Linked DNA regions of Ovis aries. The protein of the gene in region 1 purifies or fractionates together with the protein of each later gene. This does not show direct contact. Links are inferred from orthologs where the notes say so. Each region holds a gene or a part of one and is shown in the gene's direction. Other genes may lie near its edges.

Region 1 (3,552 bases):
TTCAGGAGAGTTTGGTTGACAAAGGCTAAATTTATGTCATGAGCTGGGTCTCTGGGTGATTATGTCTTAGCAGGGAATTAGGAACATGTACTGGAGCTGGGGATTTAGATTTGAAAGCAATATGTAATATATAGAGGGTATTGAGAGACAAGAAAAGGATTTGGGGGCAAATCCTTGAGGAAATGCCTGCATTAGGAGATGTAACGAGGAGAAGAACAGAGTTAGTGAAAGAGACAGAAAAAAAGGCAGTCAGAGACTGGAGATAATTTCAGGTAGAAGTCTGTGTTAGAAGCCAGGGCACAAGTTCCATGAGGTCAGGATGAATATGTTGCAGATTCAGAGATGGAAGGAGGTGGGGAACAGAGCAAGGCATACTGGATTCTGAAAGTCACTGGTGGTCTTTAAAAGCGGTATCAGCAGGATTCTGTTGGTAGAAAATGAGAGAAGGTATAAAAGTAGAGATAATGAGGATAGACTATTTTTGGAAAAAAAGGGGGGCCAGTGAAGGGATGAAGAGCCTTGAATGGGTGCTTCTCAGAGGGTCAGGACTGAGGGCTGGGAGGACTTTGAAAGCAAAAAGAAAGTGTACCTGAAGAGGAGCGAGCAGGGGAACGCATGAGATGAGAAGGTAGATGAAGGAAAGTCCTGGGGGTGGTGGGAGGACCGGGTGAGGTCATGGGCTATTGGACTGAGCTCATCAGTTTCTCCCACAGAGAAAGGAGCAATGGGAGAAAAGAAGACTGGAGAAATATAAAGAGATGTTAGGGGTGGAGAGGAGGGTAATGTAGAAAGCTCTCACATCAAATGGCTTTGACCTCCTTGGTAAAGTAGGGAGGAAGTGATGTGTTTGGATGAATGTGAGTGAGATGGAGGTTTGTGATCTTCCTTTCTGCTGAGTGTAGAGAAGGAAGTGATAACTGTGGATAGGATAAATGATAAAGCCTAACCTTCTTGTGGTTGGTTGGTTGTCTGAGTAGGCATATGATTTGGAGCTGAGACAGAAAGTTGCCAGGTACTAAGCACTATGTCACCCATGGGTGCCCTGGTATTGCACAGCCCCATGGAATCATCAGAACTTCTGACTCTACGCTGAGATTAGGGGACAGACAATTGATGACAGAAGAATTAAAGGTCAGCTATTCGATCCGTTTTTTTCTGAGAACCCACTGCAGACTGGACCCTCTCTGAAGTAATGGGTTAAACATTACCTTAAATGGTATATGATTCAGACTTGACAATATTTCAGACAAACTGCCTCAGTTCATTTCAAGTCAAAATTGCATATCTGTGATGAACTGTAAATACAGTCCTCAGTTGGCACAGGGAAGCTTAATTTAAAGGAACTTCTTTGTAATGTGAATATGTAATGAGTGGTGAACATTTTTGGAATGTAAATAATTTCTTTTTTGCTTTTTCATTTACCTGGATTTATGTATAAGCACCTAAATGATTTTGAAATGGCAGTAGTGGCTATAGGAGTATATTTGTGATAGAGGAATTCTGAATAAAGAATTCCTTTAAAGAATAGTCTTCTATCATCTCATGATCTGTAGCACAGAGAAAAATGCAGTTAACATTTTGCTGTGAATTTCTGGTGTATTCTACCAGTGTGTGGGGAAGAGGCTGGATAAACAGAGAACGCTGAGAGTGGGAAAAGAATGGATTTGAGAACAGATCTTTGAGAGGAATGCCTTGAATAAAATAATGACAGTAATGAAACAGAAGATGCTACACTGTGAAGTCCATGGGAAGTGCTTGTGAAGGGAATAAATGCTACAATTCAAATTTTTCTCGAGTCAAGGGGTTAGGGAGCATTTGTTTAATACAGATGGGATTTGAGGTTGTGAAGGAAGGGAAGATACAGCCCTATCCCTCCCTGCAAACAGCAGAGCTAGTATGGCAAAGTGCTGAAATGGATTTTCAAGTTTCTTGTTTACAAGCAGATTATTTTGAGTCTTTCAGAACCCCTTCCTAGACCCACCTTAAAAAAATATCTCTGGATCTGAGATCCTGTGAACTCAAGTGTGTGTCCAGAATGATGGGATATATCAAAATGCATGACTTGCCTGTCAGAGGGTAACAGCCCAAAGGACAGCATGACTGGGGGGCTGAAAAAAAGGCCCACAAAAGTAGAAGAATGTGTGTTAGGGATGATGGTGAGTGAGATAATCTAATAGAATGATTTTAGGCAAATTTATTCCAGAAAAATTTATTTATTCTGGGCTTCCCTAGTGGCTCAGATGGTAAAGAATCTGCCTGTAATGCAGGGGACCTGGCTTCGATCCCTGGGTTGGGAAGATTCCCTTGGAGAAGAGCATGGAAATTGACTCCAGTATTCTTGCCCAGAGAATCCCTTGGACAGAGGAGCCTGTTGGATTACAGTCCATAGGGTCACACAGAGTCAGACTTGACTGCAACGACTTAGCCTGCATGCATTCTGGGAAGAAAAGGTATAATATTGAGTTGACCAAAAAGTTCGTTTGGGTTTTTCTGTGACATCTTACAGAAAAACCCAAATGAACTTTTTGACTAACCCAGTATTACCAAGATGTTGATTAAACTATCCATGCTCTTAATTGACATATGCTAAGGAAAAGAACTTTGATTGTACCTGGTTTCTTCCTGTTAGGAATAGATTATATATTCTAAGATCAGGGAGTCTGTGGAGCCTCTCCTTGAGTTCTTTTGATGTTCTGCTTGGATTAGGTTCAGGATCCATCTCTTAGAGAGCACACTTTCCAAGAGGTTGAAGAACCCCACGACCTTTCAGACACTTTCTTGCTTCTTTAGCGCTAGACTACTGGAGTGAGAGTGTAAATTGTCCCTTTGCCTCTCTGTCCATGGAGGTTCACCTAATGCTTTGGACTGTCTTGGTCATGTTTTGCTGTGTAACAAAGTACCCTCTACGTTAGTGGCTTCATGTACAGACATGTATTCACAGTGTCTGTGGGGCAGGGATTTAGACACAATTTACCTGGGTCAGGGACTCTTATGAATCTGCAGTCAGAAGAATATATATTGGCTTCCCTGATGGCTCAGCATAAAGAACTCTCCTGTCAGTGCAGGAGATGCAGGTTCGATCCCTGGGTCAGGAAGATCCTCTGGAGAAGGAAATGGCAACCCACTCCAGTATTCTTGCCTGGAGAATTCCGTGGACAGAGAAGCCTGTTGGGCCACAGTCCATAGGCTCACGAAGAGTCAGACACCACTGAGTGACTGAGCACATAGGTGAGCCAGGTGAACTTTTGAAAGAATGTGGATTCATGGCTGAGCCCTACAGAACTGTTCCAGTGCACTCCTCACTCTGCCCATTTCCCTCCTCCAGGGGTGGCCGGTGAACCTCATCACGGCAGATCGTGTGTCTCCATTGCATGAAGCCTGCCTTGGAGGTCATCCCTCCTGTGCAAGCATATTATTGAGGCATGGAGCTCAGGTAAGTACAACTCAAACCCCATCTTCGACGCCACTACTGAAAAATGACTATTTCTATCCCTTCTAAATACTTTCGAGCATTTTTTATTAGCCTGATTTGAAATATGAAGAGGGTTTTTC
Region 2 (4,348 bases), on another chromosome or scaffold:
ACTCCTCTGTTCAGAAACCTGCAATGATTGCCCATCTCACTGAGAATAAGAGCCAGTCTTTGCTGTGGTCTACAAGGCCCGAAAAGGCCTTCTGCTCTTCTTACTCTCTCTCTAAACACACTAACCTTCTAACTAACTGTTCCTCTGAAACTCTGGGCAACTTGCCACCTGTGCTCCCCCCATTGCTGTCCTCCCAAATATGTCCTGGCATTCTCCTTCACCGCTTTCAAGTCTTTTTGCTCAAATGCCATCTTCTCAGTGAGATCTACTTGGATCCCTCTGTTTAAAACTGCATTCCTCTTCTCTGCTTTATTTTACTCTATTCAGTTCAGTTCAGTCGCTCAGTCGTGTCTGACTCTTTGCGACCCCATGAATCACAGCACGCCAGGCCTCCCTGTTCATCACCATCTCCTGGAGTTCACTCAGACTCACGCCCATCGAGTCCGTGATGCCATCCAGCCATCTCATCCTCTGTCGTCCCCTTCTCCTCCTGCCCCCAATCCCTCCCAGCATCAGAGTCTTTTCCAATGAGTCAACTCTTCTCATGAGGTGGCCAAAGTACTGGAGTTTCAGCTTTAGCATCATTCCTTCCAAAGAAATCCCAGGGTTGATCTCCTTCAGAATGGACTGGTTGGATCTTGCAGTCCAAGGGACTCTATAGCTCTAACTTATTTCTCACATTTTATGTATGAATGAACAGTTCGGAAATGTGTAGAATACAATACTGGGTATATTGTTCAATTCAGTTCAGTCGCTCAGTTGTGTCCGACTCTTTGCGACCCTGTGAATTGCAGCACGCCAGGCCTCCCTGTCCATCACCAACTCCTGGAGTTCACTCAAAATCACGTCCATCCAGTCGGTGAGGCCATCCAGCCATCTCATCCTCTGTCATCCCCTTTTCCTCCTGCCCCCAATCCCTCCCAGCATCAGAGTCTTTTACAGTGAGTCAACTCTTCACATGAGGTGGCCAAAGTACTGGGGTTTCAGCTTTAGCATCATTCCTTCCAAAGAACACCCAGGGCTGATCTCCTTTAGAATGGACTGGTTGGATCTCCTTGCAGTCCAAGGGACTCTCAAGAGTCTTCTCCAATGCCACAGTTCAAAAGCACACACAGGTATATTGTAGATTCTACATATAAATTATATTCCCTTTATTTGGCCAGTGGTTTGAGGTCTGAAGTGATAAAGCGTAGGGGTCTTAGGGTATAGGATGTGCTGGTATACCTGATCAACCTCTTAGAGGTTATTTCAGTGCCAGGCCCTCTTGAGTAGAAATATTAATAGTTAACACGTTCGTGCATGGATTCATTGATTCATGCAAACAAATATTTCTTGGGGCCCTTCTATGCGCCAGTTCTTGAAAACAGCTATTACAAGCATTTCACTCAGGATAACGTCTTTTTCGTAACCTCCCCACAGCACGCGGCGGTGGAAGACACATACTCCTGCCAGCAGAGGGCGTCCCCTCGCCCTCGCGGCGTGTTCTGGGCCCACGACGCTTTCAGGCTCCCACGCTCGCTCCCGAGCGCGGCCCCGCCTGCCGCGTCACGTGACGCGGCCGCCGAACCAGAGCGGCCGGTCCCAAACCGAGCTAAATTCGTTGCCAGTGGCCTCTGCGGGTGCCACCACAGAGGCTCATCTGAAGGAGTGGGGAGGCTCGTGGAGCCGATGCTTCCTCTTCCGATTTCAGGTCGGCTCCTGTTCCCTCTCACCTTTCGCCGCTGCCGTCTCCCCGAGTGTTTGCATGAGCTCTCTCGTACGGGGAGGCCCCGGTGACCATGTAGGGAGGGAAGAGCGAGGAAGCTCCGGGAGTGAGGGACGAGGTCAGCGCTGTGTGCACGCCGGCGCCCACCACATCCACAGTGCGGGCCGGGGGGCCCCTCGGCCCAGGTGGGACACTCGGGCCTGCAGTAGTGGCCTGGCACGGAGCTCCACGAAATCTCGCGCGGTCTCGCGAGAGTCTAAGTTGAAGGAATATGGCGACGTCTAATCTGTTAAAGGTAAGACCCTCAGTCCGTCTTGGATTTCTACTCCGGGAGCGGTGGGTTCAGCTCTCGGGGAATGGCTCGGTTCTGGTTCAGCGGCGAAATGGGGGAGTGTTCAGGGGTTGTCTACCGGAAGGGAAGCCAGGGAGGCAGCCGCCGAGGAGTGGAACGCGATTCTCCGGCCTTGGGGTCGAGAGGCCCTGGTTGTCCCTGGTGCCGGTTGCCTGGTGTATGAAAGGCCCGGCCGAGGGCCGACGGCGGGCAGTGGTCTCAAGGGGCCAGCGCTGGCTCGGGACCCCGGAAGAAAGGTGGTGCAGCGTCCTGACGGATCGGTCAGTTAGTGTCCTTAGGGTCTCAGTTTCTTCTGAAGCGGGAGTCTTGAGACGCATTAAAAAAAAAAAAAAGAAAAGAAAATCCCAGAAAATGTTGCTAACAGGTTTTAATGACTTGGATCCCCACCTCCTCAGTTTCTCTTCTCATTCTGTCTGCGCGGAATTCCAAGTCAGACGGCAGCGCCTGAAGCCCCAACTCCCTCCCTTAACTGCGGGCTACACCTTCTCTTCTGTTCTTCCTTTCTTGAGTTCGTATGTTTACCCTTTTTAACTTAGGAAACTGTTCCTCAACCCCATTACAGCACGCAACCAGATGACTACAGTGGAAGCACTGCCGTTGTCTTAGGGCTTAGGAAAGTTGCCTTATCAAAGACAACCGTTAAAGTTAGTTTTATGTATTTGGGATAGCAAGGGGGATCTAGGCCTAGAGAAGCGGATTCTTTACCATCAGTTACAAAGTTGAGAGGAGAAGGAGGAAGACCTGACACTAGTTTCGTCTGTGGTATGTTTGTAGTAGGCAATACTTTATACCTTAAAAGTACTACTGAAATGGGGGTAGTGGATGAACTACTTCTCCCTCAAAAACCCTGTCAATTAGGCCTTCAGACAGTGTTGATAGAGAATAGAAAATATATTAAAACTTACTGTAACCTCACTCTTGTCTTCTTTAGACTACTGATACTAACTGTATTAGTCCCTCTAATTTTACTAATTTTAGAGGCAGTGTGTCTTCTTTTGGAGAAGGGAATGGCAACCCACTCCAGTGTTCTTGCCTGGAGAATTCCATGGATAGAGGAGCCTGGTCGGCTACAGTTCAGAGGGTCACAAAGAGTGACACTACTGAGCAACTAACAAACATATATACACCGCCCCCGCCCCTCCCCGCCCCGCCCCTCCCCTCCTACCCAACCCCGTGTCTTCTTTTAAAAGAGGGAGGGACCTAGAACTAGACCTAATTTCTGCTACTTAGAATTTCTGCTCCATGACTTTGGGCAAGTTTCTCTCCGTTCCTGAGTTTCCTCATCAATATAGTGAAATTATCAATAGCACTTACTTCATAGGAACTTTGTGAAGATTGAGTTAGTATATGTATAATCTTAAAACAGCGACTGGATCTTAACTGGCATGCAATACACATAAATTGCTACAGTTACTACTGCTGTTTCTCTAAGAAGACAAGTTCATGGGAGTTGAGTAACTCACTTCTTTTATAGCAGTATAGCAAAGTTCTAATATATTAATTCAGAAAGAAAACTAACTTGCAAAGACTCCTGTTAATGTATCCATGTATTTACATAACCAATAGTGTATGTTATTAATTGAAATGTGTTGAAGAAGTAATTGTGAATTTTTGACTTACTGATAATGTGGATGTAAAGCAAAGTCTTTTTTTCCTCCCAGATTTGTGTCTCAGGAAAGAGTGAGTCACTTTATTCTACTCCATACAAAGCCTTACAAAGCATTGTTTGGAGGAGATAAAAGTCTGAAGCTCCTTCGTTCAATACTCTTAAGTCGTTACCTTGTAGAGATTATGAATCTGTATGTATAGCACACACCCACCTATAAACTGAAAACACCTGAATGTATAGAAATAGGTGCTTAAGACTTAGGTTAAAAAGATCATAATTCGAGCAGTTCTGTAACTCAACTTTTATAAATAAAAGGAAAGTGATAATGTTCTGACAAAACTGGTAAAAGTCACAGTCTCTAGGGAATACAAAAAGATGACAGATACACTGGAAAATTTTCAATAAAATTATTTAATGAGATGTTGAAAAGGGGGTAAAAGAATTTCTCAATATTTTATGTAGTATGTGATTTTTAAATACATACAACTAACAGTGGATATTATAAGTAGACATTTGATTCTTTTATCTGTATCACCAAAAGTTTCCTTATTTACATTGGTCAGAAAAGTTTTTTTTCCTTTTTTTCTCTCCTCATTGAAGTGTGTGGATGGGGGGGATGGCGGGGGTTGTCTTGTATTTATGCCTTTAGAAATATTTAATGAAAAAGTAGGAAGTTTGTCTT

What was found.
Region 2: the proteins of ASB9 (region 1) and CUL5 purify together in Homo sapiens (affinity purification with mass spectrometry; 6 studies listed by BioGRID and IntAct, counting the BioPlex papers as one, with this or other methods). This does not show direct contact. The link is inferred for Ovis aries from reciprocal best matches to the Homo sapiens genes ASB9 and CUL5.

The regions. Positions count from the first base shown.
Region 1 is NC_056080.1:13,444,410-13,447,961, reverse strand, and holds part of ASB9 (ankyrin repeat and SOCS box protein 9), read left to right. Parts: intron 1-3,325; coding exon 3,326-3,433; intron 3,434-3,552. UniProt on the Homo sapiens protein: Substrate-recognition component of a cullin-5-RING E3 ubiquitin-protein ligase complex (ECS complex, also named CRL5 complex), which mediates the ubiquitination and subsequent proteasomal degradation of target proteins.
Region 2 is NC_056068.1:17,272,156-17,276,503, forward strand, and holds the start of CUL5 (cullin-5), read left to right. Parts: upstream 1-1,547; 5' UTR 1,548-1,976; coding exon 1,977-2,000; intron 2,001-4,348. UniProt on the Homo sapiens protein: Core component of multiple cullin-5-RING E3 ubiquitin-protein ligase complexes (ECS complexes, also named CRL5 complexes), which mediate the ubiquitination and subsequent proteasomal degradation of target proteins.